Linked DNA regions of Lonchura striata. The main gene of each other region encodes a partner of the protein of the gene in region 2 in a complex. Links are inferred from orthologs where the notes say so. Each region holds a gene or a part of one and is shown on either strand. Other genes may lie near its edges.

Region 1 (7,962 bases), on a different chromosome or scaffold from region 2:
CCAAACCCCCCCAGGACCCCCAAAAACTCCACCCAGGACCCCCCAAACCCCCCCAAACCCCCCCCAGGACCCCCCAAATCCCCCCAGGACCCCCAGCCCCCTCCCCCCGTACCTGCCAGAGCCTTCCCGGGGGGCTCCGAGTTTGGGGGGTCCTTGCAGGGCACCCGCAGGGGAGGGGGGACCAAACTCTGGGGGGGACAGGGGCAGGGGTCACCCCAAAAATACCCAAATTGGGGAGGGGTCACCCCAAAAAATACCCAAAATTGGGGAGGGGTCACCCCAAAAAAACCCCAAATTGGGGAGGGGGACACGGGCAGGGGTCACCCCAAAAATACCCAAAATTGGGGAGGGGGACACGGGCAGGGGTCACCCCAAAAATACCCAAAAAAAACCCAAATTGGGGAGGGGGACACGGGCAGGGGTCACCCCAAAAATACCCAAATTGGGGAGGGGTCACCCCAAAAAAATCCCAAATTGGGGAGGGGGACACGGGCAGGGGTCACCCCAAAAACCCCAAATTGGGGAGGGGTCACCCCAAAAATACCCAAAATTGGGGAGGGGGACACGGGCAGGGGTCACCCCAAAAATACCCAAAATTGGGGAGGGGTCACCCCAAAAATACCCAAATTTGGGGAGGGGGACACGGGCAGGGGTCACCCCAAAAATACCCAAAATTGGGGAGGGGGACACGGGCAGGGGTCACCCCAAAAATACCCAAAATTGGGGAGGGGGACACGGGCAGGGGTCACCCCAAAAATCCCAAATTGGGGAGGGGTCACCCCAAAAACCCCAAATTGGGGAGGGGGACGGGGGGTCTCACCTTGGTCAGGCCGGGGGCCACGTTCTCCTTCTGAGCCATCCTGGGGAGCACGGAGGGTCAGGGGGACCCCAAAATCCGGCAGGGACCCCCAAAATCCAGTGGGGACCCCCCAAAATCCAGCAGGGACCCCCCAAAATCCAGCGGGGACCCCCAAAATCCAGCAGAGAACCCCCAAAATCCACTGGGGACACCCCAAAATCCATCGGGGACCCCCCAAAATCCAGCAGAGAACCCCCAAAATCCAGCGGGGACCCCCAAAATCCATTGGGGACCCCCAAAATCCAGCAGGGACCCCCAAAATCCAGCGGGGACCCCCCAAAATCCAGCAGGGACCCCCTCTGGATCCCCCAGTTCCCTTCAGGACCCCCCAAATCCCATCAGGACCCCCAAATTTTTCTCATAAATCCCCCAGGACCCCCCAATTCCCCCTCAAGACCCCCCAAATCTCCCTGCAGGACCCCCAAATTCCCCCCAGAAATCCCCTCAGGACCCCCAAATTCCCCCTCAGCACCCCCAAATCTCCCTGCAGGACCCCCAAATTCCCCTCAAGAACCCCTCAGGACCCCCAAATACCCCTCAGGACCCCCAAATACCCCTCAGGACCCCCAAATACCCCCCAGGACCCCCAAATACCCACTCAGGACCCCCCAATACCCTCAGAAATCCCCTCAGGACCCCCTAATTCCCCTCAAAGCCCCCCAATTCCCCCCAATAACCTCTCAGGACCCCCCAATTCCCTCAATATCTCCTCAGGGTGCCCCAAATCCCTTCAGAAACCCCCTCAGAACCCCCCAGTTCCACTCAGAACCCCCCAATTTCCCTTAGAAATCCCCTCAGCACCCCCAAATCCCCCCTCAGCACCCCCAATTCCCCCTCAGGACCCCCAATTCCCCCTCAGGACCCCCAAATCCCCCCTCAGCACCCCCAAATTCCCCTCAAGAACCCCTCAGGACCCCCTAATTCCCCTCAGAAACCCCCCAGTTCTCCTCAGGACCCCCCAGTACCCCCCTAGGACCCCCCAATTCCCTCAATATCTCCTCAGGATTTCCAAAATCCCCTCAGAAATCCCCTCAGGACCCCCTAATTCCCCCCAGAACCCCCCAATTCCCCCCAATAACCTCTCAGGACCCCCCAGTTCCCTCAATATCTCCTCAGGGTGCCCCAATTCCCTTCAGAAACCCCCTCAGAACCCCCCAAATGCACTCAGAACCCCCCAGTTCCCTCAGAAATCCCTCCAGAACCCCCAAATCCCCCCTCAGGACCCCCTAAATCCCCTCAGAACCCCTCAGGACCCCCTAATTCCCCCTCAGGACCCCCCAATTCCCCTCAAGAACCCCTCAGGACCCCCTAATTCCCCTCAGCACCCCCCAATTCCCCACAATAACCTCTCAGGACCCCCCAATTCCCCTCAATATCCCCTCAGGACCCCCCAATCCCCCCTCGGGACCCCTTAATTCCCCTCCAAACTCCCCAATCCCCCTCAGAAACCCCCTCAGTTCCACTCAGAACCCCCCAACTCCCTCGATATCTCCTCAGAATCCCCCAATTTCCCTTAGGAGCCCCCTCAGGACCCCCTAAATCCCCCCGGGACCCCCCAAATCCCCCCCAAATCCCCCCAAAATCGCCCCCAATTCCCGCCCCTCACTCGCCGCCCGCCGCCGCCGCCGCCGCTTCAAATTTCCCCCGCGCGCTCCCATTGGCCGCCGCCCGCTCGCGCCGCGCTCCCATTGGTCCGCGCCGCCTTCATCCCCGCCCCCCAGGACGCGCGCCGCGCTCCCATTGGTGAGCGCCCCACGAATCCCCGCCTCCCCAGCGCGCGCTGCGCGCCCATTGGTCGATGCCACGCGAAGCCACGCCCCCCCACCGGCGCGCCTTCACCCCGCCTCCCCCACTCGGCCGTTCCGCCCACCCGCGCGTGACTCGCCGCTGATTGGTCGCTGCCGGAGAGGTGAACGGCCAATCAGCGCGGGGAACGCGCGGTCACGTGGGGAGGCGGCCATTTTGTGCGCGGCCGTTCAGCCCGGCAACAGGGGCGGGGCCAAGAGGGGCGGCGGCCAATCAGAGAGCGGGGGGGGCGCGGGGGACCAGTACGGACCAGTATGCACCAGTATAAACCAGTATAGACCAGTATGGGCTGTTATGGATCAGTTCAGACCATTAGGGACAAGCATAAACCGGTGTGAGGCACTGCGGTTTAATACAGACCAGTATAAACCAGTATGAACCAGTACAAGCCAGTATAAACCAGTACAGGCCTCTGTGACCCAGCCCAGCCCAGTATAACCCAGTATAAACCAGTACAGGCCTCTATGACCCAGCTCAGCCCAGTATAACCCAGTCCAGCCCAGCATAACCCAATATAAACCAATCTAGCCCAGTATAACCCAGTATAAACCAGTATAACCCAGTATAAACCAGTACAGGCCTCTGTGACCCAGCCCAGCCCAGTATAACCCAGTATAAACCAGTACAGGCCTCTATGACCCAGCCCAGCCCAGTATATCCCAGTATAAACCAGTACAGGCCTCTATGACCCAGCCCAGCCCAGTATATCCCAGTATAAACCAGTACAGGCCTCTATGACCCAGCCCAGCCCAGTATAACCCAGTATAAACCAGTACAGGCCTCTATGACCCAGCCCAGCCCAGTATATCCCAGTATAAACTAGTACAGGCCTCTGTGACCCAGCACAGTCCAGTATAACCCAGTCCAGCCCAGTATAACCCAGCATAACCCAGTATAACCCAATATAAACCAATCTAGCCCAGTATAACCCAGTATAAACCAGTATAACCCAGTATAAACCAGTACAGGCCTCTATGACCCAGCCCAGCCCAGTATAAACCAGTATAAACCAGTACAGGCCTCTATGACCCAGCCCAGCCCAGTATAACCCAGTCCAGCCCAGTATAAACCAGTCCAGCCCAGTTTAAACCAGTATGCTCCAGTATATCCCAGTATAACCCAATATAAACCAGTCCAGCCCAGTATATCCAAGTATAGCCCAGTATAACCCAGTATATCCCAGTATAGCCCAGTATATCCCAGTATATTTCAGTATAACCCAGTATGTCCCAGTATAACCCAGTATAGCCCAGTATAACCCAGTATAGCCCAGTATAACCCAGTATAACCCAGTACATCCCAGTATAACCCAGTATAGCCCAGTATAGCCCAGTATAACCCAGTATAACCCAGTACATCCCAGTATAACCCAGTACATCCCAGTATAACCCAGTATAACCCAGTATATCCCAGTATAACCAGTACATCCCAGTATAACCCCATATATCCAAATATAACCCAGTATAACCCAGTACAACCCAGTATAACCCAGTATATTTCAGTATATCCCAGTTTAACGCAGTGTAACCCAGTACATCCCAGTATATCCCAGTATAACCCAGTATTTCCCAGTATTTCCCAGTATATCCCAGTATAACCCAGTCCAGCCCAGCATCCCCACCCCAATCTCCGGGAGGGGGCGTGGCCACTTTCCGGTGGGCGTGGCCTATCAAGTGGGCGTGGCCTTGGTGGGCGTGGCCTGTGTGACGGGCAAGCTTTGGGCGCGGCGGTGGGCGTGGCCAGGGCGATGGGCGTGGCCAGGGCGGTGGGCGTGACCAGGGCGGTGGGCGTGGCCAGGGGCGGTGGGCGTGGCCAGGGCGGTGGGCGTGGCCTGCTCCGTTGCCGCGGTAACAGCGCCGCGCGGGGCGGGGGGAGGGGAGGAAAACGCGGGAATTCCGGGGTGGGGGAGGGGTCCCGGGGGAGGGGGAGGGGTCCCTAGGGTGGGGGAAGGGTCCCCAGGGTGGGGGAGGGGTCTCGGAGGTCCCGTTCTGGCCATTTGGTGGGGGGGAGGGAGAGCGCGAGGTGGGGGAGGGGCTAAAAAAGCGGGGGGAGGGGAATGAGGGGGTCCCATGGGTGGGGGAGGGAAATGAGGGGCACCCATGGGTGGGGGAGGGGAATGAGGGGGTCCCATGGGTGGGGGAGGGAAATGAGGGGCACCCATGGGTGGGGGAGGGGAAGGAGGGGGTCCCATGGGTGGGGGAGGGGAAGGAGGGGCTAAAAGGGTGGGGGAGGTGCCAAAGGGGAGGGGGAGGGGCGGTCTAAGCCCCTCCCCCTCCCCAGGCCCCGCCCCCTGCCTCGTTCCAGCCAATGGCGTTGCTGCTGCCCGGGCGGTTCCTGGCGATGGTGGCGCACCTGGGCATGCTAATGAGCATGGGCGGGGTCAGTGCATGCTAATGAGCATGGGCGGGGTCAGTGTATGCTAATGAGCATGGGCAGTGTCAGTGCATGCTAATGAGCATGGGCGGGGTCAGTGTATGCTAATGAGCATGGGCGGGGTCAGTGTATGCTAATGAGCATGGGCGGGGTCAGTGTATGCTAATGAGCATGGGCGGGGTCAGTGTATGCTAATGAGCATGGGCGGGGTCAGTGTATGCTAATGAGCATGGGCGGGGTCAGTGTATGCTAATGAGCATGGGCGGGGTCAGTGCATGCTAATGAGCATGGGCGGGGTCAGTGTATGCTAATGAGCATGGGCGGGGTCAGTGCATGCTAATGAGCATGTGCGGTGTCAGTGCATGCTAATGAGCATGGGCGGGGTCAGTGTATGCTAATGAGCACGGGCGGGGTCAGTGTATGCTAATGAGCATGGGCGGGGTCAGTGTATGCTAATGAGCATGGGCGGGGTCAGTGCATGCTAATGAGCATGTGCGGTGTCAGTGCATGCTAATGAGCATGGGCGGGGTCAGTGTATGCTAATGAGCATGGGCGGGGTCAGTGTGTGCTAATGAGCATGGGCGGGGTCACTGTATGCTAATGAGAATGGGCGGGGTCAGTGTATGCTAATGAGCATGGGCGGGGTCAGTGTATGCTAATGAGCATGTGCGGTGTCAGTGCATGCTAATGAGCATGGGCGGGGTCAGTGTATGCTAATGAGCATGGGCGGGGTCAGTGTATGCTAATGAGCATGGGCGGGGTCAGTGCATGCTATTGAGCATGGGCGGGGTCAGTGTATGCTAATGAGCATGGGCGGGGTCCGTGCATGCTAATGAGCATGGGCGGGGTCCGTGCATGCTAATGAGCATGGGCGGGGGCAGTGTATGCTAATGAGGGTGGGCGTGTCTTGTCCTGACCCCGCCCCTTTCTCCAGGCCCCGCCCACGCTGCCCTCGGGGGAGACAGAGCCGGGGTGAGTGAGACCAGTTCAGACCAGTACAAACCAGTATAGACCAGTGTAAACCAATATAGACCAGTACAGACCAGTATAAACCAGTATAAACAATTATAGACCAGTATAAACCAGTATAGACCAGTATAAACCAGTATAAACAATTATAGACCAGTATAAACCAGTATAGACCTGTATAAACCAGTATAGGCCAGTAAAAACCAGTACAGACCAGTATAGACCAGTACAAACCAGTATAAACCAGTATAAACAATTATAACCAGTATAAACCAGTATAGACCAGTATAAACTAGTACAGACCAGTATAAACAATTATAGACCAGTATAAACCAGTACAGACCAGTGCAGACCAGTATAGACCAGTATAAACAATTATAACCAGTATAAACCAGTATAAACCAGTATAAACCAGTACAGACCAGTATGGACCAGTGCTCCCACAAGGGTCTCTGGGGGGAATTTTTTGGGAATTTTCCGGGGGAATTTTGGGGAATTTCGGGAGGATTTTGGGATTTTTTGGGGGGATTTTGGGGTTATTTTGGGGGGAATTTTGGGGATTTTGGGGTTTCTCTCACCCCTTCTCCCCGCAGGTTCTGGGCGGGATTTTTGGGGTTATTTTGGGATATTTTGGGGGATTTTTGGGGTTATTTTGGGATATTTTGGGGGGATTTTTGGGGTTATTTTGGGATATTTTGGGGGATTTTTGGGTTTCTCTCACCCCTTCTCCCGCAGGTTCTGGGGGGATTTTGGGGTTATTTTGGGATATTTTGGGGGGATTTTGGGGTTTCTCTCACCCCTTCTCCCGCAGGTTCTGGGGGGGATTTTTGGGGTTATTTTGGGATATTTTGGGGGATTTTTGGGTTATTTTGGGATATTTTGGGGGATTTTTGGGTTTCTCTCACCCCTTCTCCCGCAGGTTCTGGGGGGAATTTTGGGGTTATTTTGGGATATTTTGGGGGGATTTTTGGGGTTATTTTGGGATATTTTGGGGGGATTTTTGGGGTTATTTTGGGATATTTTGGGGGGATTTTTGGGGTTATTTTGGGATATTTTGGGGGATTTTTGGGTTTCTCTCACCCCTTCTCCCGCAGGTTCTGGGGGGGATTTTTGGGGTTATTTTGGGATATTTTGGGGTTTTTCTCACCCCTTCTCCCCGCAGGTTCTGGGGGGGATTTTTGGGGTTATTTTGGGATATTTTGGGGGATTTTGGGGTTATTTTGGGATATTTTCGGGGATTTTTGGGTTATTTTGGGATATTTTGGGGGATTTTGGGGTTTCTCTCACCCCTTCTCCCCGCAGGTTCTGGGCGGGATTTTTGGGGTTATTTTGGGATATTTTGGGGGGATTTTTGGGGTTTTTTTGGGGATATTTTGGGGGGATTTTGGGGTTATTTTGGGATATTTTGGGGGATTTTTGGGGTTATTTTGGGATATTTTGGGGGGATTTTTGGGGTTATTTTGGGATATTTTGGGGGGATTTTGGGGTTATTTTGGGATATTTTGGGGGGATTTTGGGGTTTCTCTCACCCCTTCTCCCCGCAGGTTCTGGGGGGGATTTTTGGGGTTTTTTTGGGATATTTTGGGGGGATTTTTGGGGTTATTTTGGGATATTTTGGGGGGATTTTTGGGTTTTTCTCACCCCTTCTCCCGCAGGTTCTGGGGGGGATTTTTGGGGTTATTTTGGGATATTTTGGGGGATTTTGGGGTTATTTTGGGATATTTTGGGGGGATTTTTGGGGTTATTTTGGGATATTTTGGGGGGATTTTTGGGTTTCTCTCACCCCTTCTCCCGCAGGTTCTGGGGGGGATTTTTGGGGTTATTTTGGGATATTTTGGGGGATTTTTGGGGTTATTTTGGGATATTTTGGGGGGATTTTTGGGGTTATTTTGGGATATTTTGGGGGGATTTTTGGGGATATTTTGGGGGGATTTTGGGGTTTCTCTCACCCCTTC
Region 2 (6,999 bases):
GGAATCACACTCGGATGAGAAAACCCAGGCCCTGGAAGTCTTTTTAAGTTGAAATAACCCAAATCCAGGAGAAACCACCCCGATTTTCCCAAGCCCCACGAGGTGGGAGCACTCGGCGGGAGAGCTCCGGGTTTTTTTTTACTTACCGCCACAGATTTTTAGTTTCTTTCCAAATAGTGGAGAGGGGGGAAAAGATTCCCCCCCAAATTGCAGAGCAAATCCCTGGAAGCCCCGGCGAGGCGCCGCCCCTCCTGCTCGCAGTGATTAGATTTGTCTTTGGATAGGTTGGAATTGTGTAATAAACTCAGATGACGTTGTCAGTCTTTTATACAGTGCTCCTGTTGCCTTCCTACGGTGGGATTTGGGATAATGAGAGAATGGGAGGGATTTGGGGAGGTCTGTGCACCCGTTGTCCCTCACCCTCTTCCTCCTCCAATGGGCTCCTGTGCTTCCCAAACTGGCTCTGAGGTGCTGGAAGCACCTGAACATTCCCAGGCAACGAGTAAAAATAAATATTTATTGGAAAATAGTGAATTATTCTGGAAGGTCGTAGAAAAAAAAAAGGATTCTTCATACCTTGAGCTGGCTCAAGCTCTGAGGAGTCCAAGTGGAGTGGAGAGTGGGAAAGGTGGGAAGGATAGGCCCAGGGGAGAGTGAGTGAAGTGGGAAGTGGGAAGAGGGAGGAATGAATCCATGTGGCAGCAGGTCCCTGGTGAAGTGGGAAGTAGGAAAAATGGGAGGGATGTGTCCAGGAGGCACCAGATGAAATGGTCAGTGGGAAGGGTGGGATCATCCCCATTCCCGGGGCTGGGAAGTGGAGCTGGCACGGGTGATGCTTCCCTGTGTCCCTGGGCCGTGTCCTCAGTAGGGATCCATGCTGTGGAAAAGACAGAGACAGGGATGTGTGGGTCCCAAACCAACCTGGCAGCTGCTGCGCCAGCTCCCCCAGTTCCCAGCATGCGGCACCTGGAGAAGGAGAGCAGTGCCAGGAAGCCCAGAAGCAGCTCCAGGCCGTAGAAGAGGAGCAGGATGGCGCTCAGGAACGCTTCCAGGCGCAGGGAATATGTCTGGAGCAGCAGGTAGTACACAGCCAGCACAGCCGCCGGCACTGTAAGCGCCAGGCTGAGGGACAGCGGCACCTTCCGCTGGCACAGGTTCCCCTTGGAGCCTGTGGAACACAGAGCTGGGATCAGAACATGGGAGGGTTTTGGGTGGGGAATTAAATGTCCCGTTCCCGTGGGCAGGAACACCTTCATCTAGCCCAGGCTGCTGCATGCCCCATTCCAACCTGAACCTCCAGGGATGTCTTCGGGGGTGTCCCAGGACCCTGCACTCCCTGTGGAGCCTCTGGCATTCAGGGGCACTCACCGAAGAAGATGCGTGTGGCCTCAATGCCGAGGTAGAGGAGGAGCAGCACCACGTCCAGCACCAAGTTGTAGACGGGATAGGGCAGGAGCAGCACTGCCGGAAAAGCACCGCCCTCAGCATCGCATTCCTGCCCACCCCGGCGGGATGGGGAACAGCTCTGGAGCGAAGCACTCACCTTTGTACACGAACACGAACGCTTCCAGGAGAAAATACGTGGCGCAGTACCAGCCGTTGAGGAAGAGCAGGACCTGCAGCGGAGCCGAGGAGCGATGGCGGCCTGAGGGGACACGGGGCGGCCGTGAGGGGGGGGGGGAGAGCACGGGGCGGGCAGGGCAGCGCGGCCCCCGGAGCCCTGCAGCGCCTTGCCCGCCCCCTTAGCCCATTCCCAGCGCTGCTCCCAGCCCGAGCTCCTCCCGGTAGCCCCCGCTGCCCTCCGGTAGCTCCCGTTTCCCCCCCGGTCCCGCTCCCACCCCTGGGCGCCATCTTCCATCTCCATGGGGACGGCCGCCGCCGCGCTCGCCCGCGCGGGGGCGCTGCGGGCGGGGCCGCGGGGCGGGCGCGCGGGGCGGCGGGGCGGGCGCGCGGGGCCGCGGGGCGGGCGCGCGGGGCGGGCGCGCGGGGCGGCGGGGCGGGCGCGCGGGGCGGGCGCGCGGGGCCGCGGGGCGGGCGCGCGGGGCGGCGGGGCGGGCGCGCGCGGCCGCTCGGTCCCCGCCGCTCCCGGCGGTGCGCGCGCCGCTCCCGCCGCACCGCTCCGTGGGCGGAGCGCCGCGCGGGTTCGCGTCCCCTCCCTCCTAAACCCGCCCGCTCGTATCCGCTGGGAGAAGAATCCCACACCGGAACACGGGAACGGCCCCGTTCGAACTCCGCCCGCCAAGCGCAGCGCCGAGCCGGGTTTCAATGAAAGGAGTGCAGCCGTGACACCGGGTGGGCGCACACACCCGGGAGCCTCCGGAAACCACATCCGATTTATTCCTTTAGGGTTTCCATTAACATTCCAGTGCCAACCAAGGCTGTGGCACGCACGGACGCCCCACAAGCGTCCCGCTGACTTCCAGAATCCCAAGGACTGCTCCCTAGAGAAAGGATGAGCCAGAAGTGACCCCGGCAGAGCCTGTGGAGTGCAAGGAGACTCCAGGGGATCCTGGGGATCCATCAGCCACGGAAGTGGGCAAATTCCTTGCGGAGCCAGAGTGAATCCTGGTAGAAGAGGGGGTCTCCCAGGTGCACAGCTGTCCGCTTGTAGAAGTAGCAGTAAAGCACGGCCGCTGCAGGGAATTTCAGGATGAGAGAGGGCCCCCAGCATCCCCAAAGGATGTGGGATCCCACCCTGATCCCTGGAGTCCTTACCCAGCCTCTGGAAAACGAACAGGGTCTGAAGGCCTTCAGTCCAGATGAAGCGGCTGGAGTCACGCCAGCGCAGGTTCTGAGGGGGTTGGAAAACTGGGAATAACCCCTGGAGCAGTTTTGTTGAGCCCTCCCAGACCCCTCACCCCATTCCAAAGGTTCTGAGCGGGATGGAGGGACATCAAGCTAGGAGTAACACCTGGAGAAGTTTGGGAATCCCCCTACTCTAAGGTTAAGCAGCTCAGGGGATTTAGGCATTGAGCCCGGACCTATTCCGGCTTCAGACTGCAGATCCCTGCAAATCCCTGCAAATCCCTTTCCTGGACGGCGTGGGCAGCGCTGGAGCAGCTGCTGTGGCTCCTGACCCCTCACAACATTCCCTGTGCTCCGGGGCAGCAGGATGGAGGGAACTTCAGGAAGTGTCCAGGGGATGGGAACTGCTCCGTTGGGAAGGAGCTAGGAAGGAGTTTATTCAGGAAAGAAAAGGGGAAGGTGCTGCCAGGACAGAGCCAGGAGCTGCAGGAAGGGAGTGGGCTGCCCCCAGGTATAGGGACTGATCCCAGAAAAACCAGGAGCTGCTAGCACAGGCTTTCTCTGGGGAAAGAGGATTTTCTGATGGGTCACAGCCCTTAGGGAATGAGCTGGGATGGGGCTGGGATTGGGCAGGACACTTCCAGCCTGATGCCAACCACAGTGTCATGGAATGGGACATCTTCCATGGGGCACCTTCCAGGGGGAGACCATGAGAAAGGACTGTGGGAAGCTGGGGGTCATGGAAAAATCCCTTGGGAGAATCCAGCAGCTGTGCCCACGCCACCCTACCATAATCCAGATGTGGAAGGAGATGCTGAGTGCCAGGTAGGCTGCAGAGAGCAGGATGGTTCCCTTGAATTTATGGAAGAGGAGGTTGACCAATCCCGCCTGGAAAACGTAGGTGTTGAAGAACATGAGGAAGATGATGATGACGTTGAAGACGATGGCGATGTCCTGGATGCTGCCGGGAGAACAGAGGGACCGTGGGCTCCTGGGCCTCCTGGATCTGCCGCCCCGCCTTGCCCGTACTCACATGAAGAGGACGAGCTGCACGGCCGGAGCTGTGCGCAGCAGCTCCGAGAAGGAATTCACAAAGAGGTCGTAGGAAAGCAGCAGGAACTGCAGGAACAGCACCAGGCTGTAGTTGCTGGGCTGGAGCATCCTCCTTCCTGGGGCTTGGAGCCCTCAGCCCCAGCATTCCCAACGGATCATGGCGCTGAGGGGGCTCAGCAGGGCCTCTCCCGACGTCCCAAACCTGGAGGGGGAAGACGGGGATTGGGATGGATGCCATAAATCAGGGAAACCCAATGAGCTGTGTCCTCTCTCTCCTCTGGTGTCTTCCTTCCCCTTGAAATCCACCCCCATCCCCATGTGAGGAAATCCAGGGATGAGGGAGACGTGCAGTCCCAAGAAGCAGTGTCCAAGCAGGTTATTTCTGGCTGTTCTCAGCTCCATGGGCAGTTCTGAGCAGGTTTGGGCATGTTCCACTCTGGGCACAGGGAGAGGAGTGAGGAGAGACAGACGGGAAGTTTTGGACACCTGAGCAGGTACGGTCCTTGTGGGACACATATCCCACAGGGGGAACAGCCCCCTCAGGGATCATCCTGGCTGAAGAGGGACGGAGGGGACAGGGATCCCCCGTGTCCTGGCAGGAAAAGGGCTGTGCTGGGAGCTGAATTCCCTGAGGGGGAGACATGGTGACAGACGGGGGTGAAGGGGCTGGAAAGGGAGGAAAGTGGTTGGAAATGCGGGGAAAGAAGGCTGGACATGGGAGCGAGAAACTGATGGACACGAGGGGGGAAAGAGTTGGATATGGGGATTAAGAAATCACTCTCTGCCCCTCCAGATCCGCGTCACTCCGCCCCTCCTCACAGCCACCACCGCGGATCCCCCGCGCCCCCTCTCGCCGCCCTCTCCCCCCGTTCGTGGCCCCCTCCCCTCTCCGGGGTCCACCCCCCGACACGCCCAAAGCCCTCTGGGTGCGGAGGTCCCGGTGCCGGGGGTGCCGCCGGGTCCCCGCCGTGCCCCCGCCCCGGGCGCTCACCCGCCGCCGCCATCTTGGTCCCCATGGAAACGGCCGCCAGAGCCGGAAGTGGAGCCGGAAGTGGCGGCTGGAGGCCCCGCGGGGCCGCTCTGGCCGCCGCGCCTCTCTGTGGCGCCGCATTGGGGCGGGCGGGGAAACCATAGAGATGAGCGGGCAGAGCGGCGCCCGCCAAGATGGCGGCGCCCAGTGAGGAGGAGGGGGCGGTGGGGCGCAGGTACAGCCCCGGGGCTGGGAGCGCTGGTGGGCGGCTCCGGGGCTGGAGGGGCTGAGGGACCTCGTGGTCTGGGCTTTGGGTGGTGTCAGGGCCGGGCGTTTTGGTCCAGGTCCAGGTTTGGGCGGGGCTGTGGAGCCACGTGTTCCCAGATTTCGGGGAGCCGTGGCACCGAGTGTGCCAGATTTGGGAAATCCGTGAGTCTTTGTGTCCCGGAGATATCACAGATTTTGGGGAACCATAGGGCCGTGTGTCTCCACCCCTTTCCTGCCTCTATGTCCTGTGAGGCAGCTGATTTGAGGGTGTCGGGACAGCCCCGGTCCCCAGAGGGGACAGAAATAGCCAATTCTGGGGGCACATGCAAATCGCATAGAAATGAGAGCGATGGGGTTCCTGCCAAGGGGACCATGACAGCTGACACCAGGAGCTCCTCACTGCCATTCCCGGGGTGCTGTGCCCTGCTCTGCATGTCCTGTTCCATCCCTGGCCTCCTTCCCAGTCCAGGGCACAGCTGGACTGTGATCACCCCCTCAGGGTTCCCAGTTCCCCTTTCCACGGTTTCTCCTGGTGATGTTGGAGAGCCCCAAAAGGCACCTCAATCATCCCCAGGCGCCACCATCCTGGATCCATCCCTGCCACCATAACCAGGCTGGGAAGCTGCTGGGCCACCATCCGTGGCTGGGAGGCAGCTCCATCGCCGTCACCTTCCCCAGGCTGTCAAACAGCTGTCCCCCACACCCTTCGGGACTCCCAGTTCCCCTTTCCGTGGCTCCTCCCTGGGACCGCATCCGGAGCCTGAGCCGGCTCCTCACTCGCCCACAGGTGCCACCAGCGCTCCGCGGCCATGCTGGACGTGCCCTTCTTGCCCTTCTGTGCCTTCCTGGGAACGCTGGGATTGCTCTGCGTGGCCATGGTGGGCTCCTGGTGCCAGCACTGGCGCGGGGGCTTTTCCCTGGACGGCAGCTCCCGGACATTCAACTGGCACCCCGTGCTGATGGTGACGGGATTGGTGGTGCTCTACGGCGCAGGTGAGCAAAGGGAGCGCGGGGATCCCGCCACAGCTCCTTCCTGACCTTGTTCTCCCCCTCACAGCTGCCCTGGTTTACCGCATTCCCTACACATGGAGTGGCCCCAAGCTTCCCTGGAAGGTGCTGCACGGCAGCTTGGCTTTGGGGGCGTTCATCCTGACCGTGCTGGGGCTGTCGGCCGTGTTCTGCTTCCACAACTCCCAAGGGACGCCCAACATGTACTCGCTGCACAGCTGGATGGGGCTGGGAACTGTCCTGCTCTTCTCCTGCCAGGTGGGAATCCCTCCTGGATGCCCCCCATCCCTCCAGCATCCCGAGTTTTCCACCCTCACCTTTTCTTCCCACAGTGGGTGGCGGGTTTTGGAGCATTCCTGCTTCCCTGGGCTCCCACCTGGCTGCGGGCACTCTACAAGCCCATCCACGTTTTCTTCGGCTCCACCATCCTCTTGTTGTCCGTGGCTTCCTGTGTGTCAGGAATCAACGAGAAGCTTTTCTTCAGCCTGTGAGAGTCAGAGCTGGGGGGTGGCTTGGGAAGATCCCTCACAGGGATAGGGGGGGCTCAGGATGTGGATTGGGGCTGGATTTGGGAGTGACCAGCGCAGAGCAAAGGGAACTGAGCACTTCCTTAGGTGTGTGGCTCCCTGCACAGTTCCCTGCAAGGTTTGGGAGGGGTTTCAGGAATATTCAGAACATTCCCAGCCTCTGTTTCTCCGCTCCAGGAAGAACGGGACAATGCAGTACAAGCTCCTGCCGGCTGAGGCTGTGTTTGCCAACACCCTGGGACTCCTCATCCTCATTTTTGGAGTGCTGGTGGTGGCTGCCCTGGCCAGGCCCAGCTGGAAGCGCCCAGATTCCGACTCCCCAGATTCCCGGCAGGTACAGGACACGCTGGGTGGATTTGGGAAGCCCCAGCACAGTTCCAAGGGTGGGGGAAGGATTGAGGGATCCCGGCTCATCCCTGTCTCTCCCAC
Region 3 (7,538 bases), on a different chromosome or scaffold from region 2:
CATTGAAAAACAAAACTGCTTTTGCAATTTATACCTGGTTAAATTTAATGGCCATTTCAAAAGTACTACAGTTACTAAGTGCTGCTTTCCAAATAGTCAATTCACAATTGGCTAGAAAGCACATAATTTAGAAGAGCAGAAAACTAAATAAATTTAAAAAATACAACAGATTCTATCACTTTAATCACTGACTAAAGACCACAGAAACATGGAAAAGTATCTTATAATTAGCTGAATAATTTCAACAAGCCCTCTAAAACTAATTAGAAATAAGAAATTAAATACTGAAGGGCTCTTAAAGCAAAAAATATGAGACAATATAGTACACAAAAGCAAAATGGAATAAGTGCATATCTAGTCTAAGTACTATTCTATTCTAGAATAGTACTATTCTATTTAAGTAGTCTAAGTAATAAGTTTCTGGTCAAAGGTTAAATAACCCATAGGTTGGTTAAAATACTAGTCTTACATATTTTTTTATTATAATGGAACAAACATCTTACCAAAGGCTAGGGTCGCCTCATGTTTACAAGCATGCCCTGTAAAATGAAGAATTATCAAAATTCACCAATGAATGCATAACTGTTTGTTTACTTAATCAGTGTCTACCCTGTTGTGGCAATAAAACTAAGCGATAAAGTCCTCTCATGACAGTGCTATTGTTTAATAGGCATTTCCAATTTAGTGCTTCATAGTCTTTGACATGCTTCTTTAAAGCAACTATCAGGCTTGTGTAAATATAGATCATTAATCAACAAGGATAAGAACAAGGCTGTTTACTTAGTGTAATCTCACCTTAGGAGAGATTTAATTGTATATCAAAGTTCAGCAACCACTGTGCCCCAGTCTGAGTAAGCTCAGCCATCATTAATTTTGTAAAATGCATTTTTGCCTGATCAAATTGGATCTTTTCCATGTTAGTAAATATAAGACAATCCAAGACTGACAAAAACACATACCTGGAAAGTGACATTCCAGCCAGCATGACAAAATAGCAAAACAAATTCATAAAGTCTAAACTTACAATTACTATACTTTCCTGAAAATAACCTAGCTTGTTCTTCTCCAATATTCTATTTATAAAGTGATTCTACATTAACCTCTTGCTCTTTTCACAGTATTTTACAATATTCATTGAGTTGCTATACTCTACATCTGTAATACAGGGATTTTATGCTAAACATGCCACGATAGTCACCATACACAAAACCCACTTTTACTGACCACTAATAAAAGATATAAATCAAACTCACATTACTATGAGCAGCACATACAGAATTTGCACTAAACAATGGGAAGTGAAAAAATTTCCTACCCAATTATAACTATTTAGTAAACTGAGCTGACAAAATATAATTGCACACTTAGGATTTTCCTGAACTAAATTCCTTGTTTTTCTTTTGTCGCAGTAAGTGAGCATAAACTTCAGTGTCTGTAAACAAGTAGAACATCAGGTCTTGTTTATTTCTCATCTTTTATATCACAGAGGGAAATCTTGGGTTTTACTAGTAGGCATCTAATTAAGCAACATGCAGTGACCATTACTCCTGAGATGTGAAAGAACTTCAGCTCAGAATTATACAGCAAAATTACAGAGATGAATGTGTTCCTGCTCACTATTGAAAAAATCTGACATCAAAAACCAATCTAGTTTTATTAATGAAAATTCAGTGTTTAAGTCCAGAAAACCAACAGACGAAATAAACACCTATGTAAAACCTAGTAAAAGTGCAGTAGTTTTCTACCAGTTTAGATGTGCCTGTAAAAACCTTATACTAATAAGAAAAGATGTTTTAAAAAGCTGGTGCAGCCCTCAGTTTTTTAATAGTAACATACCAGAAAGTTTTTGCTTCGTAGGAACTGTTAGGTTGCGGTTTTTACCCCAGAAATTTGGCACCTTCGGTGCAGAGAAAGTTGCAAATAGACTCTGATGGCAAAATTACTGACTTCAGTTCTATGTAAGGAAATACAGACGACTTTTATTGTTTGCTAACTTTCTGCTTTATCTTAGATGCTAATTATTAAAAACTGTTCTTAACAAGAGACCGCATTAAGTATTTGAATTTCCAATGTGACATTCTGCTTTGCCTGAAAGAAGATTTAAAAGATATAAAGGGACTTTCCGGCCCCACACCACAACTGGACTAACCGACGGAATTATTTAACGAGGATGTGATGCGCATCCAGATGCGCGCCCCGCATGCGAGGGAGGCATCCCCGCCTCGGAGCCGGGTGTCAGGCATGGAGAAGCACTGTGTATGTTCACTGCAGCTGCCCACGGACGTCACCCCAGTGAACCACAGAGCCCGGGAAAGGCGGGGGTGGGGTGGCGGAGGCGAAAGAACACCCATCCGGGCTTAGGGCATCCCGCGGCACTGCCCGTGCCTCCGCGCCGGGAGCGGACAGCGACAGCACTGAGGCGGCTCTAGGCCGCCGGTGCCGCCCGGCGACAGCGGCACTGCGGGGCCGCTCCGGGCACGCTCGCCGGCTGCGCCAGCCGCTCCCGCTCCCTCCCGCAGCGCGCCCGCGCACCCGGCCCGCGCTGGCCGCCGCCCGGCCCGATCCCGCTCCCAGCCCCGATCCCGCTCCCAGCCCGATCCCGCTCCCGCCCCTATCCCGCTCCCAGCCCGATCCCGCTCCCGCCCCTGCTCCCGCTCCCAGCCCAGCCCCGATCCCGATCCCGCCCCTATCCCGCTCCCAGCCCGGCCCCGGCCCAGATCCCGATCCCGCTCCCGCTCCCCGCCCGCGCGCGCCAACGGCCGCGGCCGTGCCCAGCCCCAGGCTGAGCCCCCCGCCCCGGGGCGGGCAGGGGAGCCGGGGGAGGGAGCAGCGGCGGGGAGGCGTTACCCAGCGCTACCCGCCCCCGGGGCCGTGCGCTGCGACGAGCGGCGGGGCCCGGCCCGGGGCGCGGCCCCGCTGCCCGCCGAGGGCAGCACTCACCCGGCCCCGTCCGCTCCCGCCGCGGCCGCGACGTGGCCCGGCGGCGGCCGCCCCGCCTCCCCCTTCCCTCCGCCAGTGCGCTCTTCCTTGGCCCCGCTCCCCCTCCGCAGCGCCGCGCGGGTGGTTCCGCCCAAAACAATCCCGGCTGCCAGGGAAACGGCGCGCTGGGGGCGCGGGGAACGGGGAAAAACAAACCAAACCAAAAACAAACAAACAGCTATGAAAAGCATTAGAAACGGGAGCCCTCGCACGGGTATTTCATCGTCCATTAAAAAAAAAACAAAACTGTCGAAACTACGTATTAGCTCTCGGAGTTCAGACTAACAAAAGTAGCTTGGCGAAGAATAAAGTCCCTGGGTAATGGGCTCTGTTGGGCTCAGGAGGGCGAGTGACAAGCGTTTGGAATGCACATAAGCTTTCTGCAAATAGTAGCACAAATTTATGTCCTCCAGCTATGCAGATACTGGAGAACTTCTGTTTGTTGCCTGATTTAATAGTTGATTTAAGCAGTTCTTTGGGGGATATTTTTCTTCCCTCTCAGGGATAATTACCTAATAAACTTGAGCATTTTTGTCATTGAAAGCCTGTATATTCAATTATTCTGTGTAAAAAATGATTAAAACTATAGATGTCAAAGGTTCCTCCTGCACTGGAAGATTTGAGAAATCAGTGCAAGGTTTTCCATGAACATGGTTAGTTTTTTTTCAGAAGTAAAGTTGAATAAAATTAGCCTTCGTTTGATAGCAATTTTCAGAAACTAGAGGTGAGCAAATGCTTGTGATGCTGAGTTTGTGACATAGTTCCCAAGCATTGCATCCCTCAAATTCTGTCAATGAATTACACTGGCTTCCTAAAGAATGACCTTCTGAAACCTGGCTTGCCTGTTCTTTCCTTATGTGTTGTTATTGACAGTCACTAATGTCTCTTTTTGTACTTACCTGTCCTCTGCTTTCTCAAAAGCTTACGTGCACTCAACTGATAGGTAGGGATATTTCTGGTTTTGTTAGGCAGGTCTCCTGGGTTGCCTTGGCATAACAAACATAAACCAACTCCTCAGCATTCGTGTGCTTCCCTTTATCCTTAGTGAATCTCCATTCTTTATCTCCCTGTCCTTCGTAGTGCCCCAAAGTCCATGAAATAATGGCCTTGAACAACCTGGACTCGCTTTCAGGTTGGCCTTGCATTGAACAAGAGATTGGATCAGAAATCCAGATAGATGTTTCCTTTCTAACTAACTTCCTGGCATCTGAGAGGCTCAGTTGTGGCAAACTCAAAACCAGTCATTTTTAATCATTGACATGGAAAGCGGATTTGATATTGTCTAATTTGACCAGCAGTAATAAAGCTATAAAGCCTTCTAAGTAAGCCTGGCAGGAGACATCCACAGGTTTTCTATTACTACCAAAAGTTTGTGCCAAGTTTCCAGGAGCAGTTGCTTCAAAAGAATGTCTTTAAGATTTCTGTGATCATTACACCTTTGACAAACATGAGGTATTTGTGCCATCTGAGATCTATAAGCAAGTAGTGGTCAAGGCCAGTTTCCGTGCCAGGGGAGAATAAATCTAACCTCTTTAGCTGACTTTTTTAGTTGGGTTTTTGGGGGGTAGAGGCAGATGACAATGCTGCAGTTCTTACTCATAAATAATAGATAGAACAAGTCTATGTTAAATTTGTTCCTTTCATCCTGGACTAGTTAAAAATTACTATTCTGGAGTTAAGAATGTTCCATATAGAAAGCTACTGTAAGCCAAGGATTGACATGCTGATGTAAAGAAGACTTTTTCACCTCATGTTACTTCTTACAATGTCCTATGTCTTACAGTTCTTCTGATGTACTTTGCATAGTGCAAAACATGACCTGCTGATGCTAAGCAGTTCCTGAGGCTGCTGATCACACTTTCATTACAGCTAAAGATGTTGCAATGTGTATTCCTGTGTCAGTGTCACAAATATTTTTTTTCCATTTCCTGACTGTGAAATTTAAAAAAAATATTTGGACTTTGCTCATTATTGCAAAAGCAATGCAAGTCAGGAGCACCTAAAGAATGCAGGGGAACCTGTACAGCCCCTAAAATAACAGGATGAGTTTTGTCTGTACTTCGATGGCCTGTGGAACAGACACCAAAGGAAAGAAAGCATACTCCAAACACAACATATCCTGTTCATAAGCAGAGACAAGTGTGCAATTCCTATGCTGCTAGAAGCAGAAAACCAAGACTTTTGAAAAAAATTGAACATGTGTGCATGGAGTTTTTCAATGGCTTCAAAAGCATGTGTTCCCTGTGTTCACCTGGTATTTCAGTTGCAGGGGCTTGTACAGAGAAAGCTTTCCATTATCTTACATTTGGGATGTGTGGGAAGTAGAAAGGGACACGAACTAAAGTGACATTGTGGGTTACAGGTGAACAGTTTGAAGATACCAGATGCATTCTGAAACTCTCGCAGGAATTCCAGGACGATGAAGAATGGATCAAGGTTCTTGTCAGAGCCCACCTTTCAGCAAAAGGTAAAATCTGTCACATGCAGGGACAGCCTCGAGGTGTCACTCGAGTGTACAAAATGGAAACGATCTGGGGCTGGATAACTCAGAGAATGCTAACTGTGCAGTGATATGTTGGCAGAAGTTAATTGTTTAACTCATCAGTGGGTTATTTTCTCTTGATAGCAAAACATAATAGGGTTTCTGCTATTTGGTATTCTGAGCAAACAATCTAATTTGACATAAGGTGAAGCTTGAGTTGGGACAACAGAAAGAAGAAATTTACATATATTACATTGGTAAAAAAAAAGAAGGGTCAAAACTTTAAAGCCAATAATCAATTTCTTTAATAGAAAACAATTCTGCAATATGTTCTGCATCCTGAGATGATTGCATTTTGCATGCTAAATTTCTAGTGGTTTAAATGCAAGTCATAAGAAATAACTATGCTGGAAAGTTGGTGTGCCTCAATACTGGCAGTAGAAATGCCTGTAGGTGTTTATTTGGCAGTCTAAATTTCTGTGGCTGCTTCTCAGAGATCTGCAAGTCTTTGAACTGAAAAGCTTTCCCTGTTAGTTCTTAGTTCTGTCCTTGACTTGTCTCCTAGTCCTGAAGTGGGTGCCCTTAGTTCATGGGGGCAAGTAAGCAGTCCTTTCTCAGAAAAGAGTTCTCAGAAGAATGTTCTTTATCCTCACTGACTTTGTTGAGCCACATTTACCTTCACAAAGTTCTCTCCAGGGTAGATACAAAACCAATTGTGACCACGGATTTTATTTTGGTTGTGTATTATCAACTTCTTGTGAGTGGCAGTTCTCCCAAAGCTATAATTCTGTAATACAGAAAAGTTTTTTCACAGCCTACTACAGTTTTTATTTATAGGCCCAAAGCAAAAAAAATCTTACATTAAAATTCAGCAAAACATTTAAAGAAACCTGGTTTCTTCTTCCTTTTTTGATCATGTTTTCAGTTTAAGACTTTAAAATGTTTTAAGGAAATCAAGTCTTAGTCATCATATTAGTGCAGAGACTTGAAGCAAGGCTGGAATTATGAAGTGGCACAATCCTAGGGATCTGGTATTAACAGGGAATGTAACACTCCTAAATTTTTAAAAACTAATTTTATTTTCCATTTTAAATTGGCTGAAGTTATTAGGAGTGTCACGTGAACAGTCCCTCATATTTCAATATGTTTAACGTACTAGAATGTCTATTTACTTTGCAACAGGAGGAAAAGAAGGTAACCTCATTTTATTTCACTGACAGAAAACTAGGTTTCAGAAGCCATAGGTTCAAATTGTGTGTCCAGACAATGAGGTCACAAACCCTCGGAAGACAAATTTCATTGTCTTCTCTATGAGTGTTTCTTGAACAGCGTCTCCTGAGGTATAGCTAAGTATCTATTATCTCTATAAATCTCAGTTTTTCTGTCGTCAGAACAAGAATTCTAAGTCTTTTTGAAAGCATTTTATCATTTGGAAAACCTTTGTGCTCTCAGGACACTTCAGGTACTTTTCCACAGGGTGGTAGTGTAACAGCACATGGCATTAAGTCTAGTTTTTGTGAAGTGTTCTGAAAGCATTGGATATTGGAGCTAGAATTTGTCTGTAACTAAGTGTAGCATTGTTGCTTTTTTAACTTTTCAAAATACAATTGTTCCCCTTGTACGGTTAGTGCATCTTTGCATATGTTTTAATTATTTTCCTTTCGTGTTGTTTATTAACTATGCAATAAGCTTTAATAAACAGCAACAGATCCCCTGAATATACCTATCATATCCTGTGTTTAACAATATTTATTTGTAGACTAATTTCCAAAATCTCTTTTTTTCAGAAAGGTATTTATTCTTTGAAATGTACTTGTTTTGTTTCAGAATGTAATTGTTGATGAGGTTCATCAGATATCTTTTCTTTCTTCTAAAGGCTTGGTTTTTTAATCAAGTCTGTTTGGAGACTTTAGTTTGTAGTCCTTCAACATGTTCTTATAACTCTTTTTTTTTTAAAGTCTTCAAGCCTATCTTTTTAAACATTACTGTTTATCTCACTGGGATATTTTATTCTCCAGTATTTTATTAAGGTTCATTTATTTCCCTGCTTCCACTGACATATTGAGTGAGAATCACT
Region 4 (7,200 bases), on a different chromosome or scaffold from region 2:
TTGGGGACATTGGGGACACTGGGGGGATTGGGGACATTGGGGAGATTGGGGACACTGGGGACATTGGGGACATGGGGACATTGGGGGGACATGGGGACATTGGGGGGATTGGGGACATCAGGGACACTGGGGGGACACTGGGGACACTGGGGACACACCTGGGGACCCTGACACCACCAGTGTCCTCCCTGAACACCCATGGCCCTGACAGTGTCCCCGATGTCCCCAATGTCCCCAATGTCCCCAATGTCCCCAATCCCCCCAATGTCCCCAATGTCCCCAGTGTCCCCAATGTCCCCAATCCCCCCAGTGCCCCCAATCCCCCCAATGTCCCCAGTGTCCCCAATGTCCCCACTGTCCCCAGTGTCCCCAATGTCCCCCCAGTGTCCCCGATGTCCCCACGGGTGTCCCCGCACCCTGCAGGCCGCGTGTCCCCAGGTGCAGGTCCAGGGGGTGGCTCCACTGGGCGGCGTCGCCCCCCTGGGGGTCGTCGAGCTGGGTCTGCCCCGCGCCCGCCCCGGCCAGCAGCGTCCAGGCGGAGCCTGCGCCCAGAACGGCCCAAAATCAGCCCAAAATGTCCCAAAATCACCCCAAAATCAGCCAGCAGCGTCCAGGCGGAGCCTGCGCCCAGAACGGCCCAAAATCAGCCCAAAATGTCCCAAAATCACCCCAAAATCACCCCAAAATCAGCCAGCAGCGTCCAGGCGGAGCCTGCGCCCAGAACGGCCCAAAATCAGCCCAAAATGTCCCAAAATCAGCCCAAAATCACCCCAAAATCAGCCAGCAGCGTCCAGGCGGAGCCTGCGCCCAGAACGGCCCAAAATCAGCCCAAAATGTCCCAAAATCACCCCAAAATCACCCCAAAATCAGCCAGCAGCGTCCAGGCGGCGCCTGCAGCATGGAGCGGCCCAAAATCAGGGAAAATCACCCCAAAATGTCCCAAAATCACCCCAAAATCAGCCAGCAGCGTCCAGGCGGAGCCTGCAGCACGGAGTGGCCCAAAATTAGGGAAAATGACCCCAAAATATCCCAAAAGCAACCCAAAATGGCCCCAAATCACCCCAAAATCAGCCAGGAGGGTCCAGGTGGCGCCAGTACCCGAAACGGCCCAAAATCAGCCAAAATCACCCCAAAATCAGAGAAAATCACCCCAAAATCAGCCCAAAATTTCCCAAAATCAGCCCAAAATGTCCCAAAATCAGCCCGAAATGTCCCAAAATCACCCTGAAATATCCCAAAATCAGCCTGAAATGTCCCAAAATCAGACTAAATCACCCCAAAATCACCCCAAAAATCACGACAAAATCCCCCCAAAATCACCTAGGATACCCCAAAACCCCCGAAATCCCCCAAAATCATCCCAAATCACCCCAAAATCACCTGGGACACCAAAATCCTCTTAAATAACCTCAAATCACCCTAAAAATTAACCAAAATCACCCCAAAATGATCCCCAAATCACCTAAAATAACCCAAAAATCATCGAAAACCACCAAAAATTCTCCCAAATGGCCCCAAAGCCCCAGGTCCCCCCAAAATCACCCCGGAACCCCCAAATCTCCCCAATATCCCCCCAAAATCTGCCCAGAACTCCTCAAATGTCCCCAAATCTCCCCAAATCCCACCAAAATCCCTCCAAAATCTTCCAAATTCCCCCAGTTCCCCTCAAAATCCCCCCAAATCCCCCAAAATCTCCAAAATCCCAAAAATCCTCTAAAAGATCCCCAAATCTCTCCCCCAAAACCCCTAAAATCCCCCCAAAATTCCTCCCAAATTCCCTAAAATCCCCCAGACCCCCCAAAATCCCCCAAAATCTCCCAAATCCCCCCAAAATCTCCCAAATCCCACCAGAAATCCCCCAAATTCCTCCCAAAATCCCCAAATCTCCTTCAAAAACCCCAAATCTCCTCAAAACCCTCCCCCAAATCCCCCCAAAATCCTCCAAACAAACCCGAATTTCCCACCCAAATCCCCAAAATCCACCCACTACCTCCCAAAATCCCCCAAAATCCCTCCCAAAATCCCCAAATTCCTCCCAAAATCCCCCCAAATCTCCCCAAGACCCCCAAAATCTCCCCCAAACCCTCCCCCAAATCCCCCTAAAATCCCCAAAGTGCCCCCAAAACCCCCCGAAATTCCTCCCAACTCCCCCAAAATCCCCCAAATTCCACCCAAAACCCCCAAATCCGCCCCAAATCCTCCAAAAATCCCCAAATCTCCCCCTAAAATCCCCCCAAAACCTCCCGAAATTCCCCCAAAATCTCCTTCAAAATCCCCCAAACCCCCCAAATCCCCCTAAAATCCCCCCAAAATCTCCTTCAAAATCCCCAAAACCCCCCAAAATCCTCCAAAAATCCCCAAATCTCCCCTCCAAATTCCCAAAACCCACCCCTTACCTCCCGAAATTCCTCCCAAAATCCCCCAAATTCCTCCCAAAATCTCCCCAAATCCCTTCGAAATCCCCCCAAAATCCTCCAAAAAAATCCCCAAATCCCCCTAAAACTCCCCCAAAACTCCCCGAAATTCCTCCCAACTCCCCCAAATCCCTCCCAAAATCCCCCAAATTCCCCCAAATTCCCCAAAATTCCCCAAAAATCCCCAAAATCCCCCCAGACCCCCACCCCGCCGCGCTCACCGGCGTGCAGCCCCCACTTGCAGAAGAGGCGCCGCTCGGAGAAGCCGCAGCCGCTCTCGATCTGCCCGAAGAGGTGCAGCTCCGCCATGGGCTGCGGGACCCGAAACCCGCCGGATTCACCCCAAAAATCCCCCCAAAAAAATCCCAAAAAATCCCAAAAAATCCCCCCCAAAACCGCCCCGTTCTCCCCTCCCGCCATCCCCGCCCGTCCCTCCCTCATCTCCACCCATCCCCTCCGTCCCCCGCCCCAAATTCCCCCCAAAAATCCCCAAAATCGCCACAATTCCCCCCAAAATTCCCCAAAATTTCCACAATTCCCCCCAAAATTCCGCCCGCGCGGCGCTCACCCGCCCCCTGCCCGCGCCGCCACTGCGCATGCGCGGGCGGCGCTGCCGCATTGCGTTGCCACGGTAACGCCGGGCCGGCGCTGATTGGTCAATGCGGGTCAGGCCACGCCCACAAAGAGCGGCGTTATCACTGCGCATGCGTGTGAGGCAGAGTTTGCCGTACGGCCGCCGCCATCTTGGGCGTTACAGAGTAGGGGGACGCCATCTTGAGGGCGGCGCCGCCATCTTGTGTGTACCGCCGCCATCTTGGGGTGCCCCAAAGTGGGGGAAAAAACCAAAATTGGGGGAAAATCCAAAAATTCGGGGGAAATCCAAAAATTGGGAGGAAAAACCCAAAACTGGGGGAAAAACCCAGAAACTGGAGGGGGAAACTGCAAAACTGGAGGGGAGAAACTAGAATTGGGGAAAAAAACAGAAATTTGGGAGAAAACCCCAAAATTGGGGCAAAAACCCCAAAACTGGGGGAAAAACCCCAAAATTGGGGGGAAACCCAGGAATTGGGGTAAGAACTACAAACTTGGGGGGAGGGAAAACCAAAATTGGGGGAAAACCCCAAAACTTTGGGGAAAACCCCAGAAATTGGGGAAAGAAACCAAAAAATTGGGGGGGGAAACAAAAATGGGGGGAAAAGCCTCCAAAATTGGGGGGAAAAAATCAAAATTGGGAGAAAACTCAAAATTGGGGGAAGAAACCCAATACTGGGGGGAAAAATCTAAAATTGGGGATAAATCCCCCAAAATTAGGGGGAAAAAACCCAGAAATTGGGGAGGAAATCCCCAAAACTGAGAAAAACCCAGAAATTGGGGGGAAAACACCAAAATTGGGGAAAAAACACCGAAACTGAGGAAAAACCCCAAATTTCATGTCCCTCCCCTCAATTTTACTTTTCCCTCCAAATTTTGGGATTCCCTCTCCTAGATTTCAACCCCCTCCCCCAAATTCCCGCCCCTCCCCCTCCCCAAATTCCTCCTTCCCCCAAATTCTGCCCCTCCCCCCCAAATTTTTCCTTCCCCTCAAATCCCGCCCCTCCCCCTCCCCAAATTCCTGCCCCAAATTCCCACCCCTCCCCCTCCCCAAATTCTCGCTCCTCTCCCCAAATTCCCTCCCCTCCCCAAATTCCTCCTTTCCCAAATTCCTGCCCCTCCCCCCAAATTCTGCCCCTCCCCCAATTCTGCCCCTGCCCCCCAAAATTTTATTCCCCTTCAAATTCCCGCCCCTCCCCCTCCCCAAATTCCCTCCCCCCCCCCAGACGGGGTCAGAGGTCACGGGGGGGTCACCCCAAATTTACTGCACGGACACCACAGCACAGAACCGACCACGACACCACGGGGGGGGGCCCCCCAAAATTTGGGGAGGGGTTGGGGGGGGGGAGAGACCCCCAACCCCCTCCCCTCCCCCACCCCCCCTCCCGACCCCCCCCAAAAACCCCCCCAAAATCCGCCCGCGGGGGGGGGAGGGGAGGGGGGCGCGGGAGGGGGGGGAGGGACCCCCAAAATTTCCCATCATGCAACACTCGGCGCCCCCCCCCCCCCCCAAAATTTGGGAGCCCCCTCCCCAAAACCTCCCCTCCCCCCCCCCAGCTCGGTTATGGCTTTTGTCGGGTTTTTGGGGGGGGGTCGGGGGTTTTGGGGGTTTTTGGGGGTTTTTGGGGGTTTTTGGGGGGCGGCCCCCCCTAGGGGAGGGTGATGAAGGCCGAGGCCTTTTCCTTCAGCTGCCGCAGGCACAGGTGGCAGCTCCAGCTCCCTGCCCCAAAACGCCGAATTTCAACCCAAAAATGGCCCCGGAACGGCCCCAAATATCCCCCCCAAAATCGGTAAATATTCCCCAAAAATAGCCCAAAAACTCCCCCAAATATCCCCCCAAAATTGGTAAATATTCCCCAAAAATAGCCCCAAAATTCTCCCAAATATCCCCCCGAAATCAGTAAATATTCCCCAAAAATAGCCCAAAAACTCCCCCAAATATCCCCCCGAAATTGGTAAACATCTCCCAAAAATAGCCCCAAAACTCCCCCAAATATCCCCCCGAAATCGGTAAATATTCCCCAAAAATAGCCCAAAAACTCCCCCAAATATCCCCCAAAAATTGGTAAATATTCCCCAAAAATAGCCCCAAAACTCCCCCAAATATCCCCCCGAAATCGGTAAATATTCCCCAAAAATAGCCCAAAAACTCCCCCAAATATCCCCCAAAAATTGGTAAATATTCCCCAAAAATAGCCCCAAAATTCCCCCAAATATCCCCCCGAAATCGGTAAATATTCCCCAAAAGTATCCAAAAAATATCCCAAAAACTCCCCCCGAAATTGGCAAATATCCCTCAAATATCCCCCCAAATTCTCCCCAAAATCCCCAAATCCCCCCAAAAATCCCCCAAAATCCCCCAAATCCCCCCAAAATCCCAAAAAAATCCCCAAAATCCCCCAAATAATGACCCAAAATCTCCCAAATTCCATCCCTAAAATGCCCCAAAACGCCTCCAAACCCTCCCAAAATCCCTCCAAATTTCTCCCAAAATCTCCAAAATTCCCCCAAAATCCCCCCAAAAATCCCCAAAATCTCAAAAAAATCCCCCAAAATCCCTAAAAGACTTCCCAAATCCCCCCAAAAATCCCCTAAAATCCCCAAAATCCCCAAAATCTCCCAAAATCCCCCCAAAATGCCCCTAAATGCCTCCAAGCCCCCCCCAACCCACCCAAATTCTCCCAAATTCTCCCAAATTCTCCCAGATTTCTCCCAAAATTTCTCCAAAATCTGCCCAAAAATCCCCAAACATCCCCCAAATCCCCCAAATTCCCTTAAAATCCCCCAAAATATTCTCCAAAATCCTCCCATAAATCTCCCCAAATTCTCCCCAAAAATTCCCAAATCCCCCCAAATTTTCCCAAAATCTTCTCCAAAATCCCCCCAAAAAACCCTAAATGCCCCAAAATCACCCAAATTCCCCTAAAATCCCCCAAAATCTTCCCCAAAATCTCCCCAAATACTCCCCAAAACCTCCCAAATCCTTCCAAAATTCCCTAAATTCCCTCCAAAAAAAAACCCAAAATCCCTCCAAAACCCCCACAAAACTTCCAAAAAATCCCCCAAAATCTCCAAAATCTCCCAAATCCTTCCAAAATTCCCTAAATTCCCTCCAAAAAAAACCCCCAAAATCCCTCCAAAACCCCCAAAATCTCCCAAATCCTTCCAAAATTCCCCCAAATTCCTCTCAAAAATCTCCCAAAATCCCAAAAAAATCCCCCAAAGAATGACCCAAAATCTCCCAAATTCCCCCCCAAAATCCCTCCAAACCCCCCCAAAATCCTCCCAAATTTCTCCAAAATCCCCCATAAATATTCTCCAAAATCCCAAAATTCCCCAAATCCCCCCCAAAATCCCAACCAAAATAGTCCCCAAAATCCCACCAAAACCCCCGCAAAACCCCAAAAATCCCCCCAAAAATCCCCCAAAAATCCCCCCAAAATCCTCCCAAAATCCTCCCAAAATCCCCAAAATCCCCAAAATCCCCCAAATTCCCTGCAAAACCCCCCAAAATATTCCCCAAAATCCCACCAAAACCCCCTCAAAACCCCAAAAATCCCCCCAAAATCCCCCCAAAATCCTCCCAAAATGCCCCAAAATCCCCAAAATCCCCCAAAATCCCCCAAATTCCCTGCAAAACCCCCCAAAATATTCCCCAAAATCCCTCCAAAACCCCCACGAAACCCCCAAAAATCCCCCAAAATCTTATCCAAAATCTCTCAAAATATTCCCCAAAATCCCCCAAAATCCTCCCAAAATGCCCCAAAATCCCCAAAATGATCCAAAATCCCCCAAATTCCCTCCAAAACCCCCCAAAATATTCCCCAAATTCCCTCCAAAACCCCCACGAAACCCCCACAAATCCCCCCAAAAATGCCCCAAAATCCCTCCAAACCCCCCAAAATCCTCCCAAATTTCTCCCAAAATTTCTCCCAAAATGCCCCAAAATGCTCAAAAATGCCCCAAAATGCCCAAAAAGGCCCAAAACGCCCCAAAGTACCCTCGGGGGGCTCGGCCATGGGCGGGCTCAGGCAGTACATGTGGTAGCCGCGGTCGCAGTCGTCGCAGAACAGCAGCTGCTCCTGGGGCCAAAAAAGGCGATTTTGGGCAAAAGCAAAAAAATGGGGTTTGGGGAAAAAGAACGGATTTGGGGAAAGGACGGGGCCGGGGGAAAGGAATGGATTTTGGGGGGAAA

The links.
Region 1: TMEM216 (region 2) and TMEM107 share a complex: the UniProt entries of both Homo sapiens proteins name them as parts of the tectonic-like complex. The link is inferred for Lonchura striata from reciprocal best matches to the Homo sapiens genes TMEM216 and TMEM107.
Region 3: TMEM216 (region 2) and AHI1 share a complex: the UniProt entries of both Homo sapiens proteins name them as parts of the tectonic-like complex. The link is inferred for Lonchura striata from reciprocal best matches to the Homo sapiens genes TMEM216 and AHI1.
Region 4: TMEM216 (region 2) and B9D2 share a complex: the UniProt entries of both Homo sapiens proteins name them as parts of the tectonic-like complex. The link is inferred for Lonchura striata from reciprocal best matches to the Homo sapiens genes TMEM216 and B9D2.

Annotation. Positions count from the first base shown.
Region 1 is NC_134636.1:1,519,379-1,527,340, forward strand, and holds the start of TMEM107 (transmembrane protein 107), read left to right. Parts: upstream 1-4,950; 5' UTR 4,951-4,972; coding exon 4,973-5,044; intron 5,045-5,972; coding exon 5,973-6,010; intron 6,011-7,962. Other genes in the region: aurora kinase C, read right to left, coding at 113-188, 821-860, 2,466-2,548. UniProt on the Homo sapiens protein: Plays a role in cilia formation and embryonic patterning. Requires for normal Sonic hedgehog (Shh) signaling in the neural tube and acts in combination with GLI2 and GLI3 to pattern ventral and intermediate neuronal cell types.
Region 2 is NC_134608.1:53,696,350-53,703,348, forward strand, and holds TMEM216 (transmembrane protein 216), read right to left. Parts: upstream 2,330-6,999; coding exon 2,203-2,329; intron 1,902-2,202; exon of another isoform or gene 1,852-1,901; coding exon of another isoform or gene 1,839-1,851; intron 1,646-1,838; coding exon 1,544-1,645; intron 1,462-1,543; coding exon 1,369-1,461; intron 1,169-1,368; coding exon 967-1,168; intron 878-966; coding exon 862-877; 3' UTR 506-861; downstream 1-505. Other genes in the region: TMEM138 (transmembrane protein 138), read right to left, coding at 2,521-2,633, 2,716-2,791, 3,535-3,706, 3,779-3,906; lysosomal membrane ascorbate-dependent ferrireductase CYB561A3, read left to right, coding at 4,963-5,003, 5,823-6,028, 6,093-6,301, 6,376-6,530, 6,748-6,904. UniProt on the Homo sapiens protein: Part of the tectonic-like complex which is required for tissue-specific ciliogenesis and may regulate ciliary membrane composition.
Region 3 is NC_134605.1:58,103,629-58,111,166, reverse strand, and holds the start of AHI1 (jouberin), read right to left. Parts: upstream 3,009-7,538; 5' UTR 2,941-3,008; intron 2,437-2,940; exon of another isoform or gene 960-2,436; intron 540-959; 5' UTR 504-539; intron 1-503. UniProt on the Homo sapiens protein: Involved in vesicle trafficking and required for ciliogenesis, formation of primary non-motile cilium, and recruitment of RAB8A to the basal body of primary cilium.
Region 4 is NC_134633.1:4,806,576-4,813,775, forward strand, and holds the start of B9D2 (B9 domain-containing protein 2), read right to left. Parts: upstream 3,004-7,200; 5' UTR 2,983-3,003; intron 2,727-2,982; 5' UTR 2,724-2,726; coding exon 2,636-2,723; intron 543-2,635; coding exon 417-542; intron 1-416. Other genes in the region: zinc finger protein neuro-d4, read right to left, coding at 4,655-4,725, 7,006-7,087. UniProt on the Homo sapiens protein: Component of the tectonic-like complex, a complex localized at the transition zone of primary cilia and acting as a barrier that prevents diffusion of transmembrane proteins between the cilia and plasma membranes.